Ovis aries: one gene and its partners. The protein of the gene in region 3 interacts with the protein of the main gene of each other region in a biochemical or structural test. Links are inferred from orthologs where the notes say so. Each region holds a gene or a part of one and is shown on either strand. Other genes may lie near its edges.

Evidence for each region.
Region 1: the proteins of MAGI2 (region 3) and PTEN form a complex in vitro, tested with the Homo sapiens proteins (2 studies listed by BioGRID and IntAct, with this or other methods). The link is inferred for Ovis aries from reciprocal best matches to the Homo sapiens genes MAGI2 and PTEN.
Region 2: the proteins of MAGI2 (region 3) and ADRB1 interact in a test that uses a peptide from one of them, tested with the Homo sapiens proteins (4 studies listed by IntAct, with this or other methods). The link is inferred for Ovis aries from reciprocal best matches to the Homo sapiens genes MAGI2 and ADRB1.
Region 4: the proteins of MAGI2 (region 3) and RPS6KA1 interact in a test that uses a peptide from one of them, tested with the Homo sapiens proteins (2 studies listed by BioGRID and IntAct, with this or other methods). The link is inferred for Ovis aries from reciprocal best matches to the Homo sapiens genes MAGI2 and RPS6KA1.
Region 5: the proteins of MAGI2 (region 3) and CRHR1 form a complex in vitro, tested with the Homo sapiens proteins (2 studies listed by BioGRID and IntAct, with this or other methods). The link is inferred for Ovis aries from reciprocal best matches to the Homo sapiens genes MAGI2 and CRHR1.

The regions. Positions count from the first base shown.
Region 1 is NC_056075.1:9,239,628-9,245,423, reverse strand, and holds the start of PTEN (phosphatidylinositol 3,4,5-trisphosphate 3-phosphatase and dual-specificity protein phosphatase PTEN), read right to left. Parts: upstream 3,390-5,796; 5' UTR 2,563-3,389; coding exon 2,484-2,562; intron 1-2,483. Other genes in the region: KLLN (killin), read left to right, coding at 4,037-4,117, 4,594-5,133. UniProt on the Homo sapiens protein: Dual-specificity protein phosphatase, dephosphorylating tyrosine-, serine- and threonine-phosphorylated proteins.
Region 2 is NC_056075.1:34,061,340-34,067,251, forward strand, and holds ADRB1 (beta-1 adrenergic receptor), read left to right. Parts: upstream 1-1,331; 5' UTR 1,332-1,446; coding exon 1,447-2,991; 3' UTR 2,992-4,080; downstream 4,081-5,912. UniProt on the Homo sapiens protein: Beta-adrenergic receptors mediate the catecholamine-induced activation of adenylate cyclase through the action of G proteins. This receptor binds epinephrine and norepinephrine with approximately equal affinity.
Region 3 is NC_056057.1:43,276,866-43,282,938, reverse strand, and holds the start of MAGI2 (membrane-associated guanylate kinase, WW and PDZ domain-containing protein 2), read right to left. Parts: upstream 3,635-6,073; 5' UTR 3,163-3,634; coding exon 2,862-3,162; intron 1-2,861. UniProt on the Homo sapiens protein: Seems to act as a scaffold molecule at synaptic junctions by assembling neurotransmitter receptors and cell adhesion proteins. Plays a role in nerve growth factor (NGF)-induced recruitment of RAPGEF2 to late endosomes and neurite outgrowth.
Region 4 is NC_056055.1:240,329,421-240,335,351, forward strand, and holds the start of RPS6KA1 (ribosomal protein S6 kinase alpha-1), read right to left. Parts: upstream 3,757-5,931; 5' UTR 3,742-3,756; coding exon 3,526-3,741; intron 2,367-3,525; coding exon 2,322-2,366; intron 1-2,321. UniProt on the Homo sapiens protein: Serine/threonine-protein kinase that acts downstream of ERK (MAPK1/ERK2 and MAPK3/ERK1) signaling and mediates mitogenic and stress-induced activation of the transcription factors CREB1, ETV1/ER81 and NR4A1/NUR77, regulates translation through RPS6 and EIF4B phosphorylation, and mediates cellular proliferation, survival, and differentiation by modulating mTOR signaling and repressing pro-apoptotic function of BAD and DAPK1.
Region 5 is NC_056064.1:45,527,487-45,533,374, reverse strand, and holds the start of CRHR1 (corticotropin-releasing factor receptor 1), read right to left. Parts: upstream 3,420-5,888; 5' UTR 3,149-3,419; coding exon 3,116-3,148; intron 1-3,115.

The DNA of each region.
Region 1 (5,796 bases), on a different chromosome or scaffold from region 3:
ACAAACACAAAACACTGAAGTGAAACCAAGCAAACCAGAGCCTTAGTGTATCAAAATTATTGGAAGTGCAACTATCAAAAAGGCAAACCCTTTACTGACTTTCCTAACATGATTTTTTTTCATATCAACATTTGGCTCAATAAAACCACAACTCTAGAAATTAAGTGTTATTAGTCATTTGATGCAATATATGATAATGCTTTCTATGCATACCATAACTAAAAGGACAGTTTTAGAGAAAGTTGTAAGTCACATAAATTTCACACACAGAGGCACGCACCCTGAAATCAAAGGAGAAATGGCTAATCGCCGCACTGCTCACATATAAAAACCTGGTAGAATAATGATAGTCTTATAACTCTGTTAATTTTAAATCAAAAATAGCAAAAACACCATTTTTATGCAAAAATAGCATAAACATACTCTGAATACTAAAAGCAATCTGCCAAACAAACAGCATTCTAGAAAATTTTTTGAATGGGGGTTTACTTTAAAAAGTTAAACGTTTAATTAATTTGGTCCTATACATCTAGATGACTGTCAAGTCACACCAATAGACTACTTCTGAAATAGGTTACAAATGAGAAGAACCAAGTTTAAGTATTTTTCATGATTATCTTCTGGGCAAACAGGTCAAGCTGTTTTAGTACTTTTTCAATTAATGCAACTCCAAAATGTCCAAATATTCTTTTAAAATACTATTTTTAAACTTAACAGAAAACTTAAGTTATGTGTGTGGTAAAGCTACTTCTTCAGTAACTTTTACCTTCACTTCATATCAGAAACTTGGGCAAAATCAGCTGCAAATACTATGTATGTATATATGTATGTGCAGATATATAATGCAAAGAAAGAAAACCTCCTCATGTATGTAACATTTTTCTTCAAAAATATCTTCCCCATAGATTTTAGCTAGAGATACAGGCACTTCAGTGTCACTCTACTATTAGGCAAAATGTTTGGTGATACTTGCTAAGGAACCATTTTTTTTTTAGTATACTCTATTAACACCTACACAACTGCTTAGTTTTAACTAAGTACTGTCCACTGCTACAATTCATATCACCAAATTTTTTTGTCTTTAATAGAAACCTTAATAAAATGCTTCAGTCACCTCAGACCAATAACTTAATCCTATTTTTCATGCCTTATACACTGGCCTACCAGTGACTCTCAATTCCTAACATATTTCCCATTCTGCCAAAAAGGAGGGCTCTACCTCCTATCCTTGATCAAAATTTGTTCATTATACCTGAAACTGCGAAGATTCATGCCTTTCAATAACCACTATCTTTTGAAATACAAAAGCCTAACTTTCAGACAGCCAACTGTACCCCAATGAAATTCTTGGGTTTCTGTCTTATTCAACAAGCTGACTCAGTAAATTTAATACACCATATGAAAAAAGCGAACACACCTACAATCCAAAGATGGAGTAAATCCACTCTTGCCAGCATTTCTGGTTATCAGCTGGTAAATTATATTTGATGTTCTACACAAGTCAGAGTAAAATTAACGGATACCCAAAGGTGTCACAGGACCTGAAACCTAAATAAAGCTGAGTATCAATTCAAGTATCACAATCAATACTTAAATTTTAAGTGAAACTGAAGTTTAATCTCTGCAATCACCATTTGCTACACACAATACCCTTGAACCTACATAACATTATCATCTGAGATCAAAAACCACTCAATCTCCATTCTATTACCTGTCAGAAGAGCACTGAATCTACAATGCTACTGAACTGTACATCTCATGTCCTATTCTCCATCATCTTAAAGAGACCATAAAAATAAAAAAGCAAATTTAACAAAATCTAGTCAGCGTCTTTGAGAAGTATCAAAGACTATTGATTTCAAACTGCTAAACTTCTAAACGCGGTTCAAAGTTGTAATTAACTTAGTTTTAACACATAAACCTACTTTTGCCTTCAAATGAGCACCATATATGCTAAAATGATTCTCTCTAAAGTTATGCAAATCAGTTCACAACTCACATTTTAAAAGAATCTATCAATGCAACCCAGGAAACTAAAAACAATCACTGCATGATTCTGATGCAATAAGCCGTACGTGCAACACTAATTTTCCTTTTAATCTGATCTATACCCTTGATCTAGGGCCTAAAGCCAAGATTTAATCGAAATATGCTCAAGCTCAAAGCACCTACTTTTCTGTTCATTTAGTAGACCGGATTACCGAGCTCACTAATCCACTAACAGTGTACTGGATTCTGCGGACAATAGCCCTTAGAAAGAGACCCATCGGTGCCTTGTCACTTGCAACCAGGCAAGAGTTCCGTCTAGCCGAACACACCCTAGGCGGAATGCATTCAAAAGAGACACAAAATACACATCTAGAAACCCGACCGGGGTTAAATGTCACCCGCACTATGGACATTTTTTCGCATCCGTCTATTCCCACGTTATCAGAGAGAGTGACAGAAAGGCAAAGAGGAGCAGCAGCCACAGAAATGGATACAGGTCAAGTCTAAGTCGAATCCATCCTCTTGATATCTCCTTTTGTTTCTGCTAACGATCTCTTTGATGATGGCTGTCATGTCTGGGAGCCTGTGGCTGAAGAAAAAGGAGGAGAGAGATGGCAGAAGCTGCTGGTGGCGGGGCTTCTTCTGCAGGATGGAAATGGCTCTGGACTTGGCGGTGGCTGATGCCCCTCGCTCTGCTGCCGCTTGGCTCTGGACCGCAGCCGGGTAATGGCTGCTGCGGCGGCTGCTGGATGGTTGCAGCGACTGGGCCTGCTTCTCCTCAGCAGCCAGGGGTCTGGCAGCGGCGGCAGCGGAATGGGGAGAAGAATAATCCTCGGAACGGCTGCCTCCTCCGGCGGCCTCCGGAGCCCGGGCCAGGGGGGGTGCGGCGGCGGCGGAGGGGAGGTTTAAAACCGGCCCGGGTCCCTGGATGTGCCGCCGCCGCCGCCGCCGTGTTGGAGGCAGTAGAAGGGGAGAGACCAACTCTCCGGCGTTCCCAGCCCTGGAAATGGTGACAGGCGACTCCGACCCCCTCCCCGGAGCTGCGGCCGCCGCCGCCGCCGCTTCTCCCCCCCGCTCCAGGAGCGGGAGGTGCCGCCGCCGCGCCTCAGCCGGCTCCCGCCCGAGCCCACGGCTTCCACCTTCCCTTTCAGGAGAAGCCGAGAAAGAGGCTGCACGGTTAGAAAAGACGAAGAGGGGGCGAGAAACGCCGCCGCTGCCGCCGCCGCCGGCCGGCCGGCTCCCCGAGGGCGCTGCCCCCGCGGCTGCTCACAGGCGCTGAGAGGGGCTCTGGGCTGCGGCCGCCGCCGTCTCTCATCTCCCTCGCCTGAGCCCGGCCTCGCCTCGCAGCGGCTCAACTCTCAAACTTCCATCATGGCTGCAGCTTCCGAGAGGAGAGATCTGAGCGCAGCCGCGTCCCGGCGCCCGAGCGCGTATCCTGCCGCAGTGCACAAAGAGTCCCGCCACATCACCGCCCGCCGGCCTGCCCGCCCCCTCCGCCGCCGCCGCGCCGGGAGTCCGGGCGCCTCGGGAGCCCGAGGGGAGGAGGGAGGCGTACCCGACCGCGCCAAGGGAGGGAAGGGCAGGGCCGAGACTGTAGGGAGGCGGCAGAAGGTGCAGCTCCGGGTCCCCAACCTGCAGGCGCACTGAGCATGCCCAGTATGACTGCCTAGTGCTAGATCGGGCTTGTTGCGAGGCGCCCGCCTGTAACTGCACTTGCCGCGGCTTCTTCTGCAGCAACGCAGGGTGGGGGGAACGAGCTGAGCCACGGCCGGTGCCCAGCCGGAGGCAGGGTAAACTATTGCGAAGGTGGGCAGGCGGGGGCGGGCAGCGGGGGGAGGGAAGGAGCGCGGTGAAGGTTGAAGCAGGTTTATTCATCTGTCTCACTGACTTGAGGGTGAGACTACCTGCGCACAGGTGGAAAAGACCAGGTGACCGCGCTGGTCAGTGTTCAGGGAAACGCAGGGACAGCCCGTGCAGCGAGGACACCCTTCCCCCCACGCCCAGACTTCCCCGGCACGGCCGGCAGCCTTCCTCTGCTTTTGTACCGATGTCGGATCATAAGCGTTCGCGGGGATTTGACTGCAGGAGCCTCCGCCGAGAAGTCCCACCTCTCCACCCATCCCCGCCCGTGTCCTCAAGGTGTCAGTCTTAGTACAAAGAACAACCCCCTATTGTGTCTCCAGTGTGTATCACCTCACCCGGCTCCCTCTCACCGCCCCACCTCCCGCTCCCCCGGCTACTCGATTCATTTGCCCTAAAAATGAAAGCTCCTAGCAGAGCGCGCTGAGTGTGAGCACATCGCCCCTGAATTTCTAGATCCCCAAAGGCAACTGTCCAGGTGGGCTGAAAGCGGATCCCCAAAGAGGGAATGCGCCCTGCATTCCCCCTGGAGAGCCGAGAATCTCTCCCCTGGGGTTTCCAGCTGAGTTCACCACTCCAATTCAAGCTCGATCCTTAGAGGCTCCTCGACCCGCCCCTTTTGGACCGCTGTGAAAACCTCGCTGGGTGAATCGCCCCGGAGCCAGGTTCTGCGCTCCCCCTAGCTGGGGAGTGCGCGCCGCAGACCCCTGTTGCAGCGCGGGAGGGCGAAGTACGTGATTGTAGGAAGCTGCAGCCCCTGTGAGTGGGCGGAGCCGAGGAGGGTTCAAAAGGAGGTGGAGGGATACGCGGGCCACAGTCGGAACTACTTTCAGGAGGAGGTCACGTGTACTTCTAGTTGGGGAACTTTCCAAATTCCCACTCCCATATGATAGCTGTAGAGGCAAATGCTTCGCTTCCTTTGCCCAGAGTGCTCCCGCCTTGCACCGGCAGCGGGACCCCAAAGCCTCCTGGGTCTCGGTGGAAGAACAGGCTCAGACGAGCCTCCTACTGGAGCGCTGTCGGGGCTGGCGCCGGAGGAGCTGGTTACACAAGCACCCACATCCAAGCACGTGCCCCCGCCTTCCCTCACCTTGGCTGCTGCCGCTGATTCTTACAGATCTCGGAGCGAGGGTTCCCAAGCTGGTCGCACCCTTTGCCCGCTACCCACAGAGCAAGCTAGAGGACCGAAACCTGAGACTCCGAGCTCTGGAATCACTGGCTCTGCCTTCCCAACCGTGGGAGAAGGGACTAGATTTCAGGGGTCTGTCGCATCTTTCTCGCTAGCGCCCTGCCCCTTAGGGCGTAACTTTTCTGGTGCTGTACTCGCGGGGCAAAAGGGTATCTCCTGCAGCAGCCCGCTGCGTGAATTCAACGACGTTGCGACAAACTTTCAGTCAATACTTTCGGGCTGATGAGCGCGCCCCACCTACTGTAGACTCAGCCAAGTGACTTATCTGGTCGGAGAACCTAGTCCATGGCCTTCAGCCCAGAACAACCTTGTCAAGTCTGCTTACAGTTTGGATTGGTTGACCTAAACCGCGAAAGAGCTGGTTCAGAAACGCTGAGAACTAGAGTGCATTTACCCCAACATTGATCGGCCTGTAAAATGAGTTGTCCACCGTCTGCTTGGAGAGAAAGAGGGCATCAATACCAACCTAGGAATTCTTTCTTTCCCCTGGGAAGTAAAACTTAAGGAGAATTTGAGTCCAAAAGAATTTAAGCTGATACCCAGGTTGAGGCACTGGTAGTTTTTTTAGATCTTGAGAATGGGATCAGCTTGCATGTGTACTGCAGTAATTGTGAATATGTGGCTAGGGAAGGTCTAAAGAGAATTTACTCAGTGTATGACAAAGAAAGTGACACATGAGCACATCATAGTTGCAGGCAGCCCCTGAAGACTAGAAACCTCAAGAGAGCTTGCTTAGACGCCACAGACCATTACCTAAC
Region 2 (5,912 bases), on a different chromosome or scaffold from region 3:
CTCACTAATTTTAAACCCATTCAGTTGCCAACCCAACAGCCTTTGATATAACTTTACATGCTATTGGATTTTAATCTTTTTGAGTATTTATATATGTTTTCTTCTCTCATCCCTCCAAAATTAATCCTAGAGTTTTGAGAATCTGGGAACTTGGGCAAAGGAGAAGGCAACGCAGCAGACCAAGAAATTTGAAATCTCAGTTCACTACTGTGTCACCCAAAGCCAATGTACCTTTTTTGTTTGCACTGACCCAGCTCAAGTCATACAATCACGTGAGTAACAGAACACAAAATCCAGGTGTTATTACTGAACATGAAAAGTCTGAAAAGTAATTAAACGTGTTCTAGCTTCCGTGGCGGTGTCATTTACTCTAACATGCCTGTCCTTAAGCCTCTCTCTCTCTTTACATTACCGGCACACACCGTTGCACCATACTCACACATCCATCAGCTGGGACCTGGGAGTGTGTATTTTTCCAACTGGTCCTCAGCATTAGCTGTCAGCTGCACAAACCTTCCTTTGCTTTCTGCATCTGCTGCCCTGGAACGACAGAAGCTTCTTGCAAGAATAGCTCCCGGGGAGCGTTCCTGACAGATGCGCGCTCTGCTTTAGCAAGGCGCTCGCTGGAAAGTTTCTTCTAACCGCTCACACCCGCCTCCGATCCGATCCCCGAGCTGGCAGGACGCGAGCTGGCTGGGACTCCTCTTGACAGAGGAAGGGCTTTACACACACCCTCCTAGGCTGCCCAATACAAGAAACAGTCTTGCAGCCAGACTCCTCCACCCCCAGCGAACAGACCGTCCAAGGCGCTCCGGTGTTTCGAGAACACCGAAGTCCCCTTCCTGCTAAAGGGCGCGTGAGCTCTGCTCTGCAGGAAACCTGGGCACTGGAGGTAGATGGGATGGGTGGCGGCGGGTAGAGCCGGGGCGCAGCGGAAAGCAAACGCCGGAGGCAAACAGGGCGCAGGAGAGGGGAGATTGGGGGCCGCGGGAGGGGGCAGGGTGGAAGCCGGGCGCGACTGGGAACCGAGGGGAACTGGGCACTGGAGCCAAGCGGGCTCTGGAAGGGACGCGCGGGCAGGAACCCGCGAGCGCTGGGGAGGGGCTTGCTTGGCGATCTGCCCCGGACTCCCTAGAGCCGCAGAACCGCCGGTGGAGGCGGGGTGCTAGGAGTTGGCGGGGCCGGGTGGGGGTGGGGGGGAACCAGAGAGGGGCGTGCCTTCGCCAGGATTGGCTGCAGGAGCCTGACGCGAGGCCCCGGGGGTTGGCTCGGGGGAGTGGGAGCCGGGTGGGGTGGGTGCTGGGTGCCGGGGCTGCGGGCTCCGCGAGCTCAGAAACATGCTGAGGTCCCGGCAGCTGTTCCAGCAGCGACAGCGGCTCCAGCAGCAGCGGCGGCGGCGGCGGCGGCGACAGCGCACGGCTCCGGCGGGGAAGGCGCCCGGCGCCCATGCCTCCGGCCCCGCGCCGCGGCTGCGCTGACCTGGCCGCGACCTCCCTCCGCGCGCCCCGCCGTTCGGGCCTCTGGGGGGGTTCCCCAACCGCGGCCCAACTCCGCCACACCCCTCTCCCCCGGCCTCCGCAGCTCGGCATGGGCGCGGGGGCGCTCGCCCTGGGCGCCTCCGAGCCCTGCAACCTGTCATCGGCCGCGCCGGTCCCCGACGGCGCGGCCACGGCGGCGCGGCTGCTAGTTCCCGCGTCGCCGCCCGCCTCGCTGCTGACCTCGGCCAGCGAGGGACCCCCGCTGCTGTCGCAGCAGTGGACGGTCGGCATGGGCCTGCTGATGGCATTCATTGTGCTGCTCATCGTGGCGGGCAACGTGCTGGTGATCGTGGCCATCGCCAAGACTCCGCGGCTGCAGACGCTCACCAACCTCTTCATCATGTCGCTGGCCAGCGCAGACCTGGTCATGGGTCTGCTGGTAGTGCCGTTTGGAGCCACAATCGTGGTGTGGGGCCGCTGGGAGTATGGCTCCTTCTTCTGCGAGCTCTGGACCTCGGTGGACGTGCTGTGCGTGACGGCCAGCATCGAGACCCTGTGTGTCATCGCCCTGGACCGCTACCTCGCCATCACGTCGCCCTTCCGCTACCAGAGCCTGCTGACCCGCGCGCGGGCGCGGGCCCTCGTGTGCACCGTGTGGGCCATCTCGGCGCTGGTGTCCTTCCTGCCCATCTTCATGCAGTGGTGGCGGGACAAGGACGCCAAGGCGAGCCGGTGCTACAACGACCCCGAGTGCTGCGACTTCATCATCAACGAGGGCTACGCGATCACCTCTTCCGTCGTCTCCTTCTACGTGCCCCTGTGCATCATGGCCTTCGTGTACCTGCGGGTGTTCCGCGAGGCCCAGAAGCAGGTGAAGAAGATCGACAGCTGCGAGCGCCGCTTCCTCAGCGGCCCCGCGCGGCTGCCCTCGCCCGCGCCCTCGCCCGGGCCGCCGCTCCCTGCCGCCGCGGTGGCCAACGGGCGCGCCAACAAGCGGCGGCCCTCGCGCCTCGTGGCCCTGCGCGAGCAGAAGGCCCTCAAGACGCTGGGCATCATCATGGGCGTGTTCACGCTCTGCTGGCTGCCCTTCTTCCTGGCCAACGTGGTGAAGGCCTTCCACCGCGACCTGGTGCCCGACCGCCTCTTCGTCTTCTTCAACTGGCTGGGCTACGCCAACTCGGCCTTCAACCCCATCATCTACTGCCGCAGCCCCGACTTCCGCAAGGCCTTCCAGCGCCTGCTCTGCTGCGCGCGCCGGGCCGCCTGCGGGAGCCACGGGGCCGCCGGGGACCCGCCGCGCGCCGCGGGCTGCCTGGCGGTGGCCCGGCCGTCGCCGTCTCCCGGGGCCGCCTCGGACGACGACGACGACGACGACGAAGACGACGTCGGGGCCGCGCCGCCCGTGCGCCTGCTGCAGCCCTGGGCTGGCTACAACGGCGGGGCGGCGGCGAACAGCGACTCGAGCCCGGACGAGCCAAGCCGCCCGGGCTGCGCCTCGGAATCCAAGGTGTAGGGCCGGGCGCCCCTCCCCGCCTTCCCCGGCTTCCCCAGTCCGGGCGCGGGCTGTGCGCTCCAGGAGCAAGAGAACCCGGGCGCCCCTGAACCGCTTCCCCGGGAAAGAGGTCTGTGTTTACTCGAGACCGAAAGCAGGTGAACTCGAAGCCTGCGAACCTCGTCTGCATCATCCAAGGGCAAATAGGAAAGCCACGGACCGTCGCACAGAAAGGAAAGTTTGGGGAGAGGTGGGAGAAGTTTGGGGAGGGGTGGAAGAGTGGCTTACTGATTGTTCTTGGGGTTCTTTTTCCTGTTTCTGGTCCAGCCTTCTGTGTGTGCGTGTGATGCATCTTTAGAGTCCCTCCTCCCCCCGCCCCCCCGCCACGTGGCTTTTAACACTTTCTGCGATGACTGGGAAGGGAAGGGGGAAGCGTTAGGAGGTAAAAGTCTCTCGACTTAGTTTCCATCCCATTCCTGGGAACAGAAGCGGTCAGCCAGAGAGAGAGGAGAGAGAATGACACTTTATCAGGACGTTGTTTCCTTTTGCTTTTCAGAGAAATTCCATTTTAATTTCTGAGGAATTATTTCTCCTGTTCTGAAAGCCGAGGGCAAGGATGGATGCAAAAATCGCGTTTCAGGAAGTTTTATGCTCTTCTTGGAACAAGCCTCACCTTGCTTCCCTTTCGGAGGGCAAGCGGGCTGTCCCTGAACGCCTCCTCGGTGGTCAGGCTGAGGGGTTCCTACCTCACTCACACGGTGCACATTGCACGGCCAGATAGAGAGACTTGTTTATATTAAACAGCTTATTTATGTATCAATACTAGTTGGAAGGACCAGGCGCTGAGCCTTCGTGACATGTGACTCTGTCCATTGAAGACAGGACAGAAAAAGGAAAAAGAAAAAAGGAAAACAATTCAGATTACTGCACATGTGGTATAGACAAAAAATCAAAACAAAAAAGCCGTGATTCAAAGTGGCATTTTTTTTGCACAGTATTAGGAACTGTAAAGTCCACAGAAAATGTTATTTGCACAAAAAGAAATGAAATATTTTTTAATGGGAGTGGGGTGGGGCAGATCTTAAAAACTAAAATAAAATTCAGATTCTATCTCTGTTGTCTGTTATGTTATTGAGCTAGCAATTTATTGGAAAATACCTTTTTATACTCTTTTATCATGGTACTGTATCCATATTATAAAAAATTATCTTAAGGATTTTTTTTATTATTTTTTTATGTCCAAGGGCACACGTGAATCTGCTGGTGAAATTTAGCACTTGTGTGTAAATACTATTTCCTCTGTGTGCTTTACCAAGTATTTATACTCTGGTGCAACTAACTACTATGTGAGGAATTTGTCCATGTGCAATAAATACCAATGAAGCACAAAAAAAGATTATGTACTGTGTGTCTGTAAGGGGGGTCAGTGATAATGGAAAAGACAGTTTGTTTTGTTCGCAATATAGACTGGATTTCCCATAGAGCTCTTTTAATAGCTTTTCATGACTCAAGAGCATAGCAAAATGCCTCTAAACCAAATAAGGCGTGCACCTACTGAGAGAGAGCTGCAGACTTGCCCTACATTTTCATAGCCGGTTCCAGAATATTCTAGACTACTTGGAGGTGTTTTCAAGATCCCATCTGCCACACTTGACTTAAGAAGTAACATTTGAGCTTGTGCATCTTCTTTAAAAAAAAAAAAAAATGGAGTCAGGTAGCTCAGCTGCAATGTTGTACAGACAACGCAGGAAAGGAGACTGGCCTGTGGAACCATCACTGTCTACTTAGAATTTGGTAAGTGGCATTCACAGTTGGTTTTCCAACAGAAAATCGCAGCCTGCAGCGCACGCACGTGTATCCAGTGACTGTTTAGAATGCAAAATGCTTTACTGATTAAGTGAAAATTCATAAAAGAGCCTTTAAGTAAAGATTTTTCTCTTGTATGATTAAACAGACCATTTCAGCGGAAGTTCTGGTTGGGCAGGTAACAGGGAGAAGTAAATCTGAAGTTTTAAATTTTCCTAACAAGATTACGACACCCTCAATGGATAGTTTTCCTAAAATTAGTTCCTAAGGAAAGTATAGTGAAATTCTATCTTGGGATTAATTCTGCATTCTCCAAAATAACTTCAAGTATTTCTCTTTGTATTTTTAAACAAGCTTTTCATTTCATGATCGTATAGTAAGGAAACCAAAGTGAAGAGTACAAAATTCTGGCTTATACCGAGATGAAACATGAACAAACTCTTCTCTACCAAGGAAAGTCAAGACCAATTACCCTTTTTCTGCAATGAGATACTCTAAGGACCAGGAGAGAGGAGAGTCTTCTGAGAAAGGTTAATGTTGCCGATGTTTTAAGAGATCAGCGGAAAGTTGCATGAACAGTAGCCATTTCAACAAAAGCTGCTATGAAGTTTAACCCCTTTCTCCAGGAGAAAAAAAAGGGGGGGTGTGGAGCAGGAGATGGCAAGACTTACTAAAAAATAGAAAGATAAATACTTGAAGAATTGTATTTTGGAGAATGTAAAAATCAATTTCAGGATGACATCTCACTATCCTTTCCCCAAGGAACAAATACAGTCCATTTCTATCCTCCCTTCCCCCAGAGTATGTAAGTCACATTTTGTTAGGGATTTTGTTCCTCTTTATTTTAAATCACACAAGATTAATAGACAATGTCTGGTTTCATCTGAAGAAACACTCAAATACCAGGTAATGCTTCACTTTCCTGTTTTGTCTAGATAAGTCTTTACATTTAAATAAATTTTTCCAGCCCCAAACTTACATATAGATCTGTCAAACCTTAGGTCTCAAAATCACGAAAAGTCCTATAAACTTTAATAACAAATATAAATATATATATGGATATATATATATATATATATAAAAGTAACTGTTTAGTATACAGATCTAAACTCTTTAGTGAGTTAGAGGAAACCACT
Region 3 (6,073 bases):
CCGATCTATTATTTGACAAGGGAAAAGAAAGATTTCGACGGTGGGAATAGCATATGAATCACCACACATGGAAGAATATAAAAGCGGATTATATTTTCCACAAAAGCTAAAAGAAGCAATTATTTTTGTTTCTTGGTCAATAGAGATTCAGAAGGTGAATCAGGTTCCTGTGGGAGCTCTGTGAATATCATTATAAGCATCAATCATCAATGACCCAGTGAAATCCAGAACTAAAAGAATGAAAAGAAATTTTCCCTAAATATATCACATTCAGTCATGCCTGACTCTTTGCTACCCCATGGACTGTATAGTCCATGGAATTCTCCAGGCCAGAATACTGGAGTGGGTAGCCTTTTCCTTCTCCAGGAGATTATCCCCACTCAGGGATCAAACCCAGGTCTCCTGCATTGCAGGTGGATTCTTTACCAGCTGAGCCACCAGGGAAGCTCAAGGATACTGGAGTGGGTAGCCTATCCCTTCTCCAGTGGATCTTCCCCACCCAGGAAATGAATGGGGTCTCCTGCATTGCAGGTGGGTTCTTTACCAATTGAACTACCAGAGAACCCCAAATATATCACATTATATGTCTATACTCCATGAGTTCTAAAAACTATAATCTTCTAAATAAAACCTAACATAGAAGTCGAATATCTGAGACTGTCTTGGATCAATTCATGGAAGGATTTACATGAGATCTAGTCCAGGTACCCATCTTACATAGGAATCCATGGTATGTGGTCACTGGCCTCTATAAACACTCACAATTATGGGAGCTAATGAGTTCACAGTATAGTTAACAGATTTTTTTAAAGCTCTGTTAAAATCATCTTAATAAAAGTAAAATGCTTCATCCTTTAAAAATTTCCACAGATTTGTCTTATTTTTGCCCTATACATAATCATAGGATAGTATTTAATGATAGCTTTCATGCCTTCACTTTTCCAAGTTAAAGTCTTTCCACTGGATTTTATAGAATAGATTGACAATACCCCCAAAATCTCCCTTTCTTTCTTTTCTAGCTGCTAGAGCAACAGCCTGTGAAGGTTCATCTCAAAATAGTGTGCTCAGAATGAGTACATTAAAATGTGGTCATAATTACAAACTACAGTGGGATAAACACTTCCCTCATTAGGCTACAATCATTAGTCCAATTTATTAATAACAATATCTTAAAGTTGGCAGCCATTTTCCACTACAAATACCAACCTTGTTGTCAATAAAACCATGGTCATTAATTGTGACATAGACTTCTGGATTCAAAACCAGAACTTCACATTTATATCTATTACTATAAAATAGTATCATGACATCAAATACGCTAACATTAATGCCTATATTCGAGCCTCTGGTATGTCATCTTGGAAAACAGTAAGATATTCTATTTGCCTTCCTACCAAACACATTCTTCAGGTTCATACCGTATTTAACTCTGTGGCCTGACAAAGAAGTCAATGTTCACATTAGCCTATCTCAAGTCATCAGTCACTAACACTCAAGAATCCCCAATTAAAACTTTTTTGTATGGCAGTTTACATTTAAGAAATTTTGCCTGAGGTTTCATTTTTCACTGACTTACTTTTAAAACTGGTTTATAGACAAGAATATCTCCCTAAGAGATATTGTCATGCAGGCAATGACATGCTCAATTCCATCTTTGAATCCGAACAATGTGTCACCAACAACAAATCTTTCGATTTGTGACGCATATACATACATGTCACACAGAATTATGAATATGAGCTACAAAACTTATGATGTGGAAAATGAAGATACACTATTTTATTCCAGCTAAAGTTGTCCTCTTTCCAAGAAACTTTTATCTCTCTTCTCTACTTCAGGACCAGCATTTTCCTATAGGCAAAGACAGTTGCGAGAACTCTGCAGGATCCCATCACAGCCTTCAGCGGAGGCTCATCTAAACCAGGTTGGAGCTGACCGGATCCTCAGTCGAAACCAGAAGGCTTTTTCATCCAGTTCCTCCTTAGAAACACGCCTCCCGCCCCTGCCCCTGCCCAAATCCGAAGCCAGAGGGGAGTCCGACCATAGAGAACTTCCACTCATGAAGACAACCCCATAGTAAAGAACATTCCGGTAACCACGTCTCTCCTCCGACCTCCAACTCTAGAACCCGCAGCTAGCGCCGCGCCTTCCTCGCGAGCCGCCTCCCGCGGGCCGGCTCGGGGTGAGCTCCCGAGTTAGTCAGTGCGCACGTGACGCGCGGTGCCCACATGACACGACCGTGGGCGGGGGAGGGGGACAGAGGAGCGAGGCAGGGAAAAAGTTAAGGCAGACCCGTCAACGCGCCCGAAGCAACCTGCCCCTTCCCTTCTTTGTCAATTAGTGGCTCAGGGATCCCCAAGGTGTCTTCAGTACAGCTACCGAAACGGAGGGCGCCGGTCTCCGTTTGCCCCGTCACCCCCTACTCCTACCGGCCCTGCTGGTGATGCCGCTGCACCCTCGAGTTGTTCCTTCCTCTCTCTCCTGCCCTCCTTTTTCGTTTCTGCCTTCTTTCCTTCCCTAAAAGCTCTTCATCCATTGCGGGCCATGCGGCTGACGCACATTCAATTGCCCTGGGAGCTCGCCGGCACCGCCGAGGTCAGACAAGGCCGAACACCTACCAAACGGGAGGTGGTAACTGCGCAAACAAAGTTGCACGCTGCACCGCAACCGCCCCTCCCTCCCACTGAGCCCCCCATTCTGAGCCCCGGCAAAGCTCACTTGCTCTGCCGGTTCTCGATCGACCTCACCCCACTGTCGCGCAACACACCCCCTTCCACACGCGAGCCCACCCTTCCATGATGCCCCGGCGTCTGGAGCGGTCCAGCCTCCTGGTAAAGCACCGAGCCAGCCGCTGCGCTTACCTTGCTTGACACACTTGAGCCGGAGGGGGTCCTTGCAGTGTTTGATCACGGCCAGCACGTCCCTGATGGTGAGCCCCGCCACGGGGGTCTCGTTCACTTCCAACAGCAGTTCCTCAGACACCAACTTGCTTCCGCTCTCATAGGCCACCTTGCCCGGCTTCACCTCTCCCAGGTAGGGGAACTGTCCATTCTCGGCGCCCCCCTTCAGTTCAAAACCCAGCTGACCCTCCGGGTTCCTGCCAATGACACTCTCATGGACTTTGCTCGTCCAGTGGCTTTTCTTTTTCAAGCTTTTGGACATGGCAGTGGGGTGAGTCGCCTCAGCTCCTGAGGGATTCCTTTGGGGTAGGGGAGTTGGTGCTGAGAGAATGAGGCTGGAGGAGCCAGGGGGCCAAGAGGTGAGGAGAGCAGACTTTGCCTTCCTCCCCTCTCTGTTCGGTGCTTTCCCTCTTCTTTGGATGGAGTGTGGTCGAGGAAGGGGGAGGATGACAGGGACGGCTGGGCAGAGGTAGGAGAGCTTGGGTGAGGTTGTGCTGTCCCTTGAATGACACTCAAGGCTGTGGCCCCGCAGCAGAGGAGAGCTGTGGTGGTGGCGGCGGCGGCGGCGGCAGCGGCAGCCTGAGCGAGCAGTAGCCGAGCTGGTGAGCGGGTGGAGTGGGGGTGGGGAAGGAGAGTAGGGATGCCGGGGGCCACTCCTGCGTGGTGCGAGTGGGAGCGCGCGCGCGCCTGAGTGTGTGTTGTTAGCTGATATCCATGGTAGCTGCAGTGGCAGTGGCAGGGTCCGCGCGCGCTCGCGCCCTCGCGCGCGCGGCCGACTTGTACTGTACTGGCAGCAGGGGAGGAGGCTTAGCGCCGCTGAGGAGGGAGCGGACTAGAGCGGGGAGGAGGGGCGCGCGCGCGCCGGGTGGGGAGCCGCTTACTGCTGTCTCCGCTCACCCCCCCACCCCCCTCCGCAGCTTGACCCGGTAGTGAAGGCTGAGAGAGAGGCAGGCTGGGTCCGCCTGGCAGCCTACGAGAGGAGGCGGGAGCGGGAAAGGAGGGGAGCCGAGGCCCGGCGTGGGGAGGCCGGCAGGAAGGGCTGCGAGCCCAGCGCGGACCTTTCTTCAGCCTCCCGGCGGCCGAACGCAGCGCTAGGCTGCTGCGCTGTGAGGATGCCCTGACTCAGTGCCGGACGCTGTGGCTGGTGGCGCCGCGAGCCTCCGGGCGTCCGATCCCGGCATGAGAAAGGGCAGAGCTGTGGGACCCGCCCGGCGTGCCCTCGCCCAGGAGGAGGCCTGGGCGCTGCGGGCCAGGTGGAGGCGTCGGAGTTCACTAATTAGACAGGCTTCGTCTCCCACGTTTCAGTCAGACCCGTCTCAAAGTTCTCAGAATTCCTCTCAGAGGAGAGTAAAGTTAGAACTGCAGGCTGGTTTTCCTGTCAGCGCCCGTACCTCGGGTGCAGAAGGGAACTTAGCGGAGGGTTGTCTGGTGAAAGGCATTCCAGGCACCGCGGGGCAGGGGCTTCACTTTTCCAAGTTGGAAGAAGCGGGAAGCAGTGGGGTGGGGGCAGCCGCGGTGAGCAGCCTCCTCAGAGAACTGGGCAGTTTCACGCGGGATCTGCGGCGAGACCGCGGGGCACGCCCTCGTCGCGCGCGCCCTCACAGCCGGGCTGGGAAGAGGGGAAACCCTAAGCTGCCCTGAGGAGACCACCTCCTGCTACACTAAAGGAGAAGGTTCGGAGGGCGACCAGAGCGACAGAACCGGGGCTGAAACTCAGCTCGCTGGTCCGCCACCAGGCTTCTTTACCTTCAGCAAGTTTGCAGCCGGGAGGTGAGGTGACGTCCGGGGCGCCAGGATGCAGGAGGGCCGCTGATTTTTACTCAAAGGCTAATTTTGTGTGAGATGTTAGGAGTGATTTTTAAAATTCCTGTAACTGATAAATGAGTTCCATTTGCTTTACTTTCAAATGATACTTAAAAAAAAAAAAGTTGCACACCCACTCGTCTCTTTAAAGCAAAGCATGAAAAGCATTGAGCGGGTAGGATTCTAGCTGTCTGAGAAGACAGTGTGGGAGGCAAGCGGAACAGTTAAAAATGCTTAGTCGACCCAAACAGAAAGACCAGGTTTGAATTCAGGCTCTGCTACTTAGCAAGAGTGTGATCTTGAGTAAATTGTTGACCTTTCCGTGCCTTAGTTTCCTTATTTGTTAAATAGGATTGACAGTATTAATGTGACAGAACTGTGATAAAGATGAAGCCAGGCAATGTATGCAAAGTGTTTGCCTGACATAAATGAGTAGGCACTCAAAATGATAATTTCCTCCTTTTTGCTTCTCTAGTGTAACTCATTGTTTGGGGATATGGGGGATCAAAAGCAGTCAGAACAGAAGAAATCTTTAAAGAGATGATTTAACCATGTCTTTTTTTTTTTTTTTTTCACTTGAGAAAATGAGTCCTGGATAAATTGGGTTTGATTGATGATTATTCAGTGAGCCAGGGACAGTGCCAGGACAGTGCTCACAATGTCCAGATGTGAGCAAGGCATTTTGTACCAGTTTCACCCAACAAAGTTGGGTTTTAGCATTATTAGACCCAATCCTAAATGGAAATTGATAATGAAAACAGAATACGGGATGAATTTTTAAACACAAACATTATAAATGTTAGTATTACCCATGCATATTAGCTTATAAATGGTCAATTTACTAACGAACATGTATGGCTAATACACTTATAAAGTTCTCCTTTTGTCATTTATTTTTAACATTTATCACGTGTTCTATAGGCTTTATATATATTAATTTATTTCTCCTGGCATCTTAATAAAATGTATACTATTATTATCCCCTTTTATAGATAGGGAAACTGAGGCATACATAGATTAATTTTTGCAAGGCTGCAGATTTAGTCAGTAGTGAAGCTAATATTCCGACTCAAGTGTTTTGACTCAAGACATGGTCTCAGTCACTGCATTGTACACTCCTCCTGTGAAGTTACTATATATCATACTAGTAGTCAGTATATAATGTCCCAGAAGTTGGGTCTGCATTTTATTGTAGAGGTATTTAGGGAAAAAGAAAACAAATGGAGTAGGAATTTGATATAAAAGCATTTTACTATTAGGACCCAAGAGAGTCACTGAAGTGTGTGCCAGCTAATTTAGTGTTTCACATCTCCTAATTCATCTTCTTTGCCCTGAATTGTGATATTAGAGCTGTAACCTGTAAACATTTC
Region 4 (5,931 bases), on a different chromosome or scaffold from region 3:
CACTGCCCACTGTCAGGCCTGGCACTGAATGGAGGTTCTATGTGCCCACAGCCTGTTCCTCCCCATCACTGCACCCACCACACAGCTTTCTTGTCACCACCCTTCCCCAATGCTGAGAACTCCCTGAGGGTGGGGTGTTGACTTCATTTTGGGATTCCCAGTGCCATGAACATGTGATGATGCAAAAGATAAACCAGCTCCTTCCACTGCACAAAGCGATGAGGTTCTGACCACAGGCTGAGCGCCCCCTGGTGTGTTGAGCCCAAAAGTGGGCACTGGGGATGCTACAAGATTCTGCAGCAACAGAGAAGGTGAACGAGCAGGTGCCGAGTAATGACGGAAACTGTGCTCACGGGGACGCAGTGCTCCTCCTCTTCAGCACTCAGTGTGTCTCCTGGGCTGGGAGGAATGTGGGTTCTGTGGTCAAGCAAGACCTGACTTCATTGCCCATTAGCGATCTGACCTAGGGCCTCAACTTTCTCATCTGTAAAATGGGGAGAGTAACAGTTTCTACCTCTGGGGATGTTATGAGAACCAAATGCAAAGCTCCTGGTATGGCACTTTCTCTCCCTTAACGTAGCATTCAAGGCTCTCCCTGCCCCATCCACGTCCAGCTTCATCTCCCTTCCCACCCCAGGATCTGCTCCAGAAGCAGGAAGGAATCACAGACTTGGGATCAAGAGTAGTTTGTCCACCTGGGTAAGTGCTTGTCTTCTCTTAACCAGCCCCTCTAGCTCTGAGGTGAGAAGCTGTACTCACCACCAGTTCCCTCAAAGCTGCAGGCACCTTTGCAACCCCTAGAACTACAGCCCCAAGATCTGAACATCTGGACCTTCACTGGAGACCTACAGTCCCTTCATTACTAGGCAACCAGGAGCAGCTACTTGGTGGGAAGAGATTCTCCCACAGGAGGCTGAGACATGGGGCTGAGACAAGTCAAGGGGCTCAGTCCACATGACTCGGCCTGGCCTTTGGTGACCCAAGGTTGCCATAGTAACAAAAAGAGGAGGGGTGGGAGCCTACTTCTGTTGGCCTGCCCTACCCCAGGAAACTCGGCTCCCTTATCTTAGGAGGCTGAGTCAAGACAAACATCAGGACCAGCCCTCAGTCTATCTCAAAGGTCAGGCTTATGGTCTGGTACCTAAGCAGACCCAGGCCAGAAGGGCGCGGCCACTAACAGGCAATGGAGCTGAGCAACACGGCCAGGCACTCAGGCTGCCAGGACTAAAGCTACTGTGTGCCAGGCAGCTGCTCTTCTATCTGTTCTTCACGTCACTCCTGAGAGGTAGGAGGCAGGTACCATTATTCCCATTTTACTGCTGAGGAAACCAGACTCAGAAGGGAGAAGCTTCAGGTCAAATGGCGATGGTGGAGGCAGGACCAGAACTCAGGTAGGCTCTACCGCCAGAACTCAGGCCCTGTCCTGCCTGGTGGCTTCCACAGCCCCTCCCCAGCCAGCAGCTCTGCGACCTCACAACGCCTTGAGAACTGGGTGAGGCCATTCCCAGCACGGCGATGAGAAAGCCCAGGCCAGACTGTCCCCCAGCCTCATAGTGCTGTCAACACACAAAACCAGCAACAGGCCCTGGGGGCTGAAGGGATAGACCCAAGGGGAGCAGAGAGCGTAGAGCTGAGGGAGCCGGCCTGGGAGGGGGCCTGAGAAACGGCCTGTGTGCCCCACGCCAGGCACTGGGCCCTGGTGTGACTGGAGGCCACCAGGCTCCCTCCAGCACCAGGTGCCATGCCCTCGTCAGGCCCAGTGGACTTAAGCCTCTCCCATCACCCCTTCACCCTCTTAATACAGTCAGCCAAGCCACCACGAGTAAATAAGCAGAGGAAGCGTCCTGGTCTGGGGGACGGGTAAACCTGAGTTCTAGCCTGGCTTCTGACCCTGTCTGGGCCATAGTCCACTCCCCTGAGGAACCGGAAGGCTGAAGCAAGTAATCCTGACATACGGGGCTGCCTCGAGCATTAGGTGGGCCCAGAGAAGGACTTGGGCTTCCCTGGTGGCTCAGATGGTAAAGAATCCACCTTCAACACGCAGTTCAATCCCTGGGTTGGGGAGATCCCTTGGAGAAGGGAACGGCTACCCACTCTAGTATTCTGGCCTGGAGAATCCCATGGACTGTATAGTCCACGGGGTTGCAAAGAGTGGGATATGACTGAGTGACTTTCACTTTCAGAGAAGGAAGGCTGAGCTGGGCCAGGGGGCCTCACACCTGGGCGGGACAAGGTCAGTGCCTCCTTCCTTGTCCACTCCAGGCAAACAGTCACTCCACCCCTGACGATCCCTAGCTCCGGTGCTAGGGCCTGGCCCTTACCTTGGATGGCTGAAGCCCAGCTTCCTCCCCTGAGGCTTGTCCATTCTGGAAAAGAGAGGAGAGAGTGGGGAACACTGTCAGAACTTACCAGAGTGGCACAAAGCAAAGACAGACCCTATGGGGCGCCCCAGCCCTTGGATGCTCCCAGTGGCTAGAGGGGCCCTGGAGGTGGGGGCGGGAGTTCTGGGAGGGGACAGGCCTCAAGCCTTCTGCAATCGCCCCAACTCAGGTAGCCCGCTTTGGGCACCCCTCCCATGTTCTCTGCCTAGAAAACATCTCATCTTTGAAGGTCCGGCTCAAATGCCATCTCCTCCCAGTGAGAAGGAAAGGACTGTGGGTGTGTGCCAACTAACCAACTCAAGAGGCCTCAGTTTCCCAATCCGTAACATGGGTATTTACATCCACCTCCTAGAGTTGATGCAAGGGCTGAAGGACATAAAGTCTGGGAGAGTGTCCAGCCCAGAAATGCTCTGGCCCTGCCTGCTCTGGGACCCCTCTCCATCCTTGCAGAATCACTGCTACTCCCTATGAACCTTCATTTTACCACTTATCACAATGCAGGGACTACGGACTCGTGGGCCGTGCGTGCTAAGTCACTTCAACTGTGTCCAACTCTTCGCAACCCCATGAACTGTAGCCTGCCAGGCTACTCCAGACAAGAGTATTGGAGTGGGTTGCCATTCCCTTCTCCAGGAATCTTCCCACCCAGGGACTGAACTCATGTCTCTTAGGTCTCCTGCATTGGCAGGCAGGTTCTTTACCTGGGAGCCCCTCCTAATAAACGGGAAGTCCTGGGAGGCAGAGATGAGGCTTTTGGTGCTAACAGCTGCTCTCTTCCGCGCCCCTGCTGCACGCCGGCACTGGCTTTGGTACCTCACATCTGTGGCACCATTAAACCCTCCTGACCTGGGAGGTAGGCCCGGGTCCCATTTGGCAGAGAAAGAAACTGAGGCGCAGAGAAGCCTAGTGACGGCACCTAAGCCACAATGCTGCTCAGCGGGGATTCAAAATCCGGTCTCTGACACCAGGAGGTGCTCAAGAGACTGAGGAAGAGGAGCCCAGCGCCCAGCCAGGGCAACAGAGATGCAGGCATGGCAGCTCACCCCTGCACAGTCCTCCAGACCCCAGACTTCACCCTCCGCTGGGTGCTGTCCACCCTGGGTATACCACCCCTTTCCTGTGTGATATGAAGTGAGTAACCTACCCCATCCGGGCCTTGGGAAGCTAAACGGAGCGGTCTCCAGCCCTCATGTGCAGCAAGAGTGTGGAGAGACCAGGAAGACCCAGGACTTTGGACCAGGGGCCAAGTCCACAGGGCAGCTGCAGTCTTGTTGGCAGCAGCAGGCACAGCTGTGCTTTCCCCATTATATAATCTCCCTGCTCCTGGAGCAGCACTCCCTCCCCGCCAGTCCCTGGACATCCTGCCCCTTGAACCCCCTTAATGCCCCTAATCCTCCCCAGGGGCCAGCGTTCTGAGGCTCCACCATACGTGTTCTCTCTCAGGAGCTTGGGGAGCAGGACTGGGTGGAACCAGGCCTGAGGGGAGGAGGAGGCGTGAGGCCTTCGTAGACGGAGTTCCACTTCACCCAGCATTGCAGACTCTTGACATAACTCTGGATGGTAACAAGGGCCTACACACCAGCCTCCCCCATTCTAAGCCCTCACCCTTCCTAAAACTCAACTGCAACCATTACATTTGAGTGACTCCCCTGGTCACTCACTTACTCCTTACTGAGAACTTTCTAGGTGCCAGGCCTCAAACTCTTCCACGGCTTCCCACTGCCTGTGGGATAAAGTCCCAGCTCCTTGGTATGGCATTCAAAGCCGTCATCTCCAGCTCCCACAGGTGATTAATGTGGGTTCTGGAATCTGACCTTGTGGGTTCAAATTCTGGTTTCTATCACCTGCATAACCCTGAGGTTACTGCATTTCTCAAAGCTTCAGTTTCCTCATCTGTGAAATGGGGATAAAAGTAATGTACCTCACTGGGTAGCTTTAAGAAGCAAGCAAAATAGTGTCTATAAAATAGATACATCCAGGGACGTCCCTGGTGGTCCAGTGGGCCAAGACTCTACACTCCCAAAGCAGGGGGGCCCAGGTTGGATCCCTGGTCAGATCCCACATGCCACAACTAAAGATCCCAAGTGCTACAACTAAGACCTGGGACAGCTAAATAAATATAAAAAAAAAAAAAAAAGTACAGCTTGCATATAACTGGTCCACAAACAATCACCATTATTACTATCCCGATTTTGGAGCTAAACTGAACAAGCTGAGACCCTGAACAGGCCAGCTTGTCCCCAAGCATTCGCACGGTGGCTCCTTCTACCAAGAAAGTCTTTCCTGCCCAGTCACTCCAGCACACTCCTGGTCTTCTTTGAGGACCTGGTTAAATGTCTTCTCCTCTGTCCATACAGCCTTAAGTCCTTTCCTCCCTCCTCTGGGCCTCACAGCACCGAGCAAACCTCAGATTAACTCAGGGAGGAGCCACGGCTTGTCCGGTATTGTCTCCTTGGCACCCAGCTCAGGGTCTGGCACATAGCCTGTCAAATGAAACCTCAAACCAGCAAAGCAAGCAAGGAGGCCAGAGTAGGTTCTATTCCTCCCATTTTTCAGATGAGGCTCAGAAGAGCTGAGTGACTTAACTGTGGCCTCTCTGTTAGCAGGTGACAGACATGGGGCTATGACCCAGAGTCACGTGAATCCCCAGTGAGAGACAGGAGGAGGTGGTGGGTGAACCCAGAGGTGGGCGCTTACAGGGCAGTATCTTGGAGGACTCAGGGAGCCTGTCTGGCTGCCTCCAGTCCCGGGGTCTGGCTTGGGTGCCATCCTCATGGAACGCCCAGGCCTGTAAGAGCTGATGCACAAGGTCTCTAGGGGGAAATGGGCGGCCCTAGCGAGAGCACTAGGAGTGCAGAGAGGACCACAGGTGACCTTCCCCTTGAAAGCCAGGGTCCTGGGAAGACAGGGCGCATCTGCCCTTCCGGACTGACTATTGTACAGAGGGTGGAAAGAGCACAGGTCTGCAGCCACAGAGACAGAGCCCCTGCTGCCGGCTCTGCCAGCCACTCGCTCTGAATGTGTCTGTCACATTACTTCTCGAGCCTCGGTCTCCTCACCTGTACTAGGCGGGCAGGTCTGTCTTGTTCACAGTGGCACCCTGCTGGTTGGAGAAGTACTTGCCGCATGGTAAGTGCTCAATAAACACTTGCTGAATGAATGAATGAGGACAATGATACTGACCTTGCAGAATACTGAATGGAAGACCTCGTCTATGAGTCTACAGGAAAGGCCTTCTGGCCCCTAAGAGGGTGGAGACTCTCTCCTCCCGCTTCCTCAGAGAGCAATACTCATGGGCACAGCGACCGAGGGCCCCCAGGCCATTGCGCCCCCTCCCCAGAGGTCAGAGATGGGTTCCAATAAGCATCCTTCCTTCCCACCCAAGCCACTCTGTCTTGGGAAAAAAAGCGTCCGGGGCAGTGTCTGGAGAAGCTGGGCAGCAGATGGACAAAGACAGCACGTGCCCCATAGGCAGGAAGCAGCCCCAGGAGTTGGGTTCAGAGCCCAGCACTGGCAACTCTGCCCGCTGCTGGAAGCTGGGGGCCAGGTG
Region 5 (5,888 bases), on a different chromosome or scaffold from region 3:
GAAGCAATTGGGAAATGGCCCCGCAGCGCCTGGATACAGACATTGCAAAAGAGCATCCCCTCACAGGGAACACAGAGATGTTGAGGTTCTCCCTCTCGAGGCCCTGGAACAACATGGGACGGACTTGGACTGCGACAGTAAGTGAGAGGACTTTCCCAAGGGCCACAGCTGTGACCAAATGTGCGCTTGAAAAAAAAATGCTTGCAGGGATTATTTTCAAAATGGCAACAATAGCTGTGTTAAGAGGGAGAGGTTGTAATAATTTCCCCCTCTGGTTTTCAAACTTTGTGTAATACTGCTAGATTGCTTTTGTGACTACAGCCATGAAACCAGCTTTCTCCGTGGAACTCACTTTCCCAGATAGCCCACCAGGCCTTGCCTTCTCCACTTCTCACACTCAACCAAACCCGCTGTTCTGAGTCACACTCGAGTCTCCCTGCGAGGACCCGTGGCTGTTGGGTAGGAGATTCAGAGGTGCTCAGTCCCTGGCCCTCCCCTGGGGGTAGAGACCATATTTTACCTGTCCCCTTGGCATCCACACAGATTCATGCTCATCCTCTTTCCTTCACTGACATATACAAGGCCCCTCCCATGCACACACACATTCTCACTCACGCACACGTGCACACACTCTCCCCCAGTTCTCTGTAATCAGTTCAGTGTGATGCCCACAACAGGGGCCCCAGAGCGGATCCTTCCCACCTTTCCTGATACTGGCTGACTTGTTGAGGGTCAGAGCCACATATTGGATGAAACCCACCTAGATTCGGGTTTCCCTGGTGGCTCAGCGGTAAAGAATCTGCCTGCCAATGCAGGAGACGTGGGTTCGATCCCTGGGTCAGGAAGATCCCCTGGGGATGGAAGCGGCAACACACTCCAGTATTTCTTGCCTGGGAAATCCCATGGACAGAGGAGCTTGGCGGGGTACAGTCCACGGGGTTACAAGAGTCAGACACAACGTAGTGACTAAATCAGCACCCACCACCACTCACCTAGGTTCAGAAGTTCATACTGACAAAACTGCCTGAGTTATCTCCCATCTGGCAGAAGTCAAGGAGGTTTTAGCAGCTTCAAATATTTTCTGGTAAAAGCTAACAAAAGAAAGTCTTAGAGTTCAAGTGCCTGAGTTTGAATTCTGGCTCCACCATTCACTGGCTGCATGACCTTGAGCAAGTTACAGAGCCTCTCTGTGCTCAGGAATAATTTCACCTTCCCGGAGCTGTTAGGAGGACAGTATGACTTAATATTCGTAAAGCAGGTAGAATACTACCCAACAAGTTGTATATGCCATATAAATAAAAGAAGAAAGTAATTATTTAAATGAAACTGCATTAGCTGACCATTCATTCACTGCATCTTACTCATTCAGTGCCTTTACTGAGCACCTACTGAGCTCATTAGGCCAGACATAAAGGACACACATCCGACGACCTAGCAGGAAGCATACACACACACAAACACGCAACGACAACAATAAGAGAAATTTTTTTTCTTTTAGAAAAGCATAATTCTAAGCAGAAATCTGCACACGATTCAAACAAAGTCCAGAGAAAGAACATTTACCTATTACCATGTAAACTTAAAAACAAAAACCTACAGTTCAATCCTTCGAATCTGTTTGAAACGTTGAATTTTTTCTGTTTTGTAAATTTAGACCCAGGTTTGGTACACACTAGCCTTTGGGAAAATATTCCCATTCAGTGCCATCTATTCAAGCTCTCTGGATGTTTTTCCCCCAGCTTCCCTCCCTGGGTCTCCCTGATCACCCAAAATAAATTATGGGTTCACCCCTAATCCCAGTTAAGGCGTGGGGGAGGGGATATGGGTTTAATCAGACCAACCTTTACTCACTTTTAAAAAAACTAACATAACTATTCGGGAGAGGGACAAAGAGAATAGAGGAAACCTAGGTAATTAACAACGTCTCAATTGATGACCAGGCAGCAGTTGCATTTTTAAACCTTGGTGGTTTAACTCAAATCACTTTGTGTGCTACATACGTACAGCTGGTTTAATAACTGATGGAAAAATGGAAATCAGTCAATCCGCACCCCTCCCCCAAATCCATTCTTTTGAGTGTAATCGCTTTTTAAATGCGCTGAATCCCATCAAGCCGCTGTCTGCTCACGCTGTCCACTCTGACCCTGCGGAGTCGGGATCCTCAGGCGAGAGCCCGCCGAGGCCCACCCACCCCTCTCTCCGGCTGCTGCTTGCGCGCCTACCCCCGCAAGGCGAACCGCTTTGGGAATCGCCTGGCACCTGCAAGTGGCGGCTGTCACTAGCTGCAGGCCGGGGTGTCGACCCTCAAGACCTTCCCCGGGGCCCAGGGGGAGCCCTCGTCACCCCCGAACTTCAGTGGACAGACGTGAGATCTGTCCGGACGTGAGATCTGGAGACCTTCCTAAACTCCGGGCGCAGGAATCGCGTCGCCAGAACCCAGACAGGAGCGGGCAGGCACAGGAAACCGCGAGTGCAAAGGACCGGAGAGCGAGCGCTGCGATCCCGCCGGCGGGCCGGCGGCGGCGGCGACGGCGGCGGCGGAACGGTAACTACCGCCGGATGCTCGGTTGGCTCTCCGGAGATTGCGATATTGATCCAGGGCTCGCAGGCGCGGGGGACATTTATCTCCCCGGACTTTCAGGGGCAGGAAGGAGCTCCCAGGAACAGGGCGGGGGCGCGCTGGGGCAGATGGGGAACCCTCTGTCCCCTCCCGAGCTTCCTGTCCCGGGACCCCGGTCTACACGGGACGGGTGGGAAGAGGAACCCTGAGTCGGTTCCCAAAGCCTAGAGCGATTTCCCTCGCAGAGCTGGTTGCCGGGGTGGGCGGACCCCCCCGACTCCCACCCCCCAACACCAGCCAACATTCCCGAAGCTTCGCCACAATGATTTCTTTTTTCTTTTTTTTTTTCACCTGAGTTCTCCCCTTACCGCTCAACGCCGGCTCCAGAGGTCCAAGAAGAGGGAGCTGGCCTGCCCCTCACACCCCGGCCGCCCCCGGACCTGGGCACAGTTCTGCTCAGTGACACCCAATCACACCGTCCGCTTCACACCCACTGCCCACTGCGCCCGGAACTGGGGGCCCCCGGTGCTCGAGGGCGGACTGGCTCGCTCTTACCTTGACAAGCCGGAGCTGCGGGCGCCGTCCCATCCTCGGGCTCGCTCGGTCACCGCGCTGGAAGCCTGGGTCCCCGGGACATCCCGGCGGGGGCGGGCTCGGGCGGCTTCTGTGTCGCCGCCGGTGGCGGAGGTGCCCGGCTCCGCGCTCCCCGGCCCCGCAGCCCGGCCCGGAGGGCTCTCGCTCTCCTCTTCCCGGGCAAGTCCAGCCGCCGCTTCCGGACTCAGCCCGGCCCGCGGCCGCCTCTCGCCCGCCGGGAGCCAGCCTCGCCCCCGCCGTCTCCCCCTCGGTCCGCGCCGACACTCGCCGCGGCTCCCCGCCCCCTCGCCTGGGCGTCCCCTCCCCTCCTTTCCTCTGCCCTCCCCTCCGCTCCCGCCTCAGCGCCTCGCCCCTCCGCTCCCTCCCCCGGCCCGCCTCCTCCGCCCCGGCTCGTTCCGGGGGCGGCTCCCCGCGCCCTAACGGCGCTGACCCCCTTTCCTCGAGCCGGGTTTGCGGCAATCGGCGGGGCGCACTGGCAGCGCTGGCGGCCGCCGCAGCCCGGGGAGAAGCTGGGGAGGTGGGGGGGGGGGGGGGGAGAGGAGGCAGCTTCCCTCCTTCCGCCGGCTTTCAGGTTGGGGCCCGAGGAGTCCAGGAGAGTCTGAGGGGGTCCTGGGGGGGCCCAGGTCAATCTACAAGAGAGAAGCGATTGGAGGCTGGGGAATAGGGCAGCCCGGACTGAGCAGTGCCGCCGCGGAAGCCGGGTGAAGCTGGGCGCTGCGTTCGGGCAGTTCTCTCCCTGCCGCGGGGCGGGGAGAAAGTCCCCGCCGCCCCCACCTCAGCGGGGCGAGGGCCAGATCCCCGCGCCTTTGGCACTGACACGCCAGGAGCGCGCTGAGGTGTGACAGCTCTGAGGGAGGAACCCTTCTCATTCATTCATTCGTTTGTAAATTCATTCTACTAACTAAGCGCCTGCCCAGTTTGGTCCCGGCAAGGAGGTGAACCTAGGAACCCCAAGAGCAGGCGAGATGGCGGTGCCGGGCAGGACTAGCCGCCCTCTGACCGCGGAGGAGGGGGAAAGCCGAGCGCGCATTGCGCTGCAGGGGATAGCGGCTGGGAATCCAGTGGACTGGGCGAGGAGTAGGCCACAGCGCCCCCTCTCGGCCGAGCGCTCAGGGTAGGGTCAGCCGCCCCGCCAGACCTCCTGGCCCCCATCCACCTTGGCTCCCTAGCTCCCCATCCCGCCCCCAAGCATTGGGAAGCAGCTCCCGACTTCTCCAGCCCCTAAAGACTTTCCCCTCCAGCGGCTCTTCCAGATGGACAGAACTTTTGACTTCAATGTCTTCCTTCCTTCCACCAGAGCCGAAAGGCGAGTAAAAAAATGTAACTACCCCGCAGATCCTCCTCCTGCAGCGCCAGGAGCAACCCCTCACCAGGAACCCTGAGCACCCAGGGTGGACCACACTCCCAGAATGGTGGTCCGCTGACTTTGCAACCCAACTCAGAATCTAACCTCCCTGGAGATTCTGTGCACTGCCGCGCCCACCCGCCTCCTTCCTTCCACCCACTTCTCAGCACATTCATGGGTCCACTGCTTCTTCATTTAGACAGGGAGTTATTGTAAGATGCCTTGTGAGGAAGCTGAGGCGCATAGACCAGTGGTGGCCTGTCCACACTCACATAGCTGGTGAGCCTAGTTCTTAGCCTCCTGATTTCCAGGTCAAAGTGTCCCCAGGGCTGGGACCGGATGGGTTTGGGGCTCTGAAATGGGGAGGGGCAGTGCCCAGGAAACCAACTGGTCACACTAGCTTAGCTACACTGGGTGGCACTTTCTAAATAAAGCACATGGTCCTGAGTCTTGAAAACCCCTAGTTGGTTGTGTGTGTGTTTGGTTGCTCAATTGTGTCTGACTCTTTGTGACCCCATGGACTGTAGTCTGCCAGGTTCCTCTGTCTGTGGAATTCTCCAGGCAAGAATACTGGAGTGGGTTGCCATTTCCTTCTCCAGGGGATCTTCCTGACCCTGGGACTGAACCAGGGTCTCCTGCACTGGCAGGCAGATTTTTTACCATCTGAGCCCCTGGAGCTGGTCGTGCTGAGCTTGACACAGACTCACCCCAACCAACCCCAAAGAGATGGATGCACCAACTAGGTTGCCAATTTATTGTTTTCAACAAAAATGAAATGCAAGGTAGTCCAGTATTCTTTCCTGGAGAATCTCATGGACAGAGGAGCCTGGCGGGCTAACAGTCCTTAGGGTCAAAAAGAGTGGGATAAGACTGAAGTGACTTAGACCCATGCACACACTAGATTCTGGAGTCAGCCTGAGATTGAGTCTTTGCTCTTCTGCTTACAAGCTGTATGAACCTGGAAACTTATCTCATACTGCCTCAAGTATCTCATCTCTATATTGGAGCTAGGAATACCTACCTCATAGGTTAAATGGTGGTTTAAACAAGTTGATATTTGTAAATGGCTAGGAATGATGCCTGGCTTAGTGAAGGTTAGGCGTCATCACCGCCATCACCACCACCACGATCATCATCTTCGAGTGGACCAGATGCTCAAATGCACGGGCAGCGAGTTCCCTTCCCCTAGGCAGTTCTTTGTGGAAAGTCGAATTCTTGATGAGACAGTCACAGCAGCGATGGACTGTGGAATCAGAGGAGAGGAAGCTGGCAGGTCTTAAGGGAGGTTTGCCCAGCCCTGCAGAGCCCTTGCTACCCAGCCTTGGTTGACCTTGGAGCTGACTCTCCAAGAACCAGACAGCTCCAGATTTCCAGATTCTGTTTCTCTGT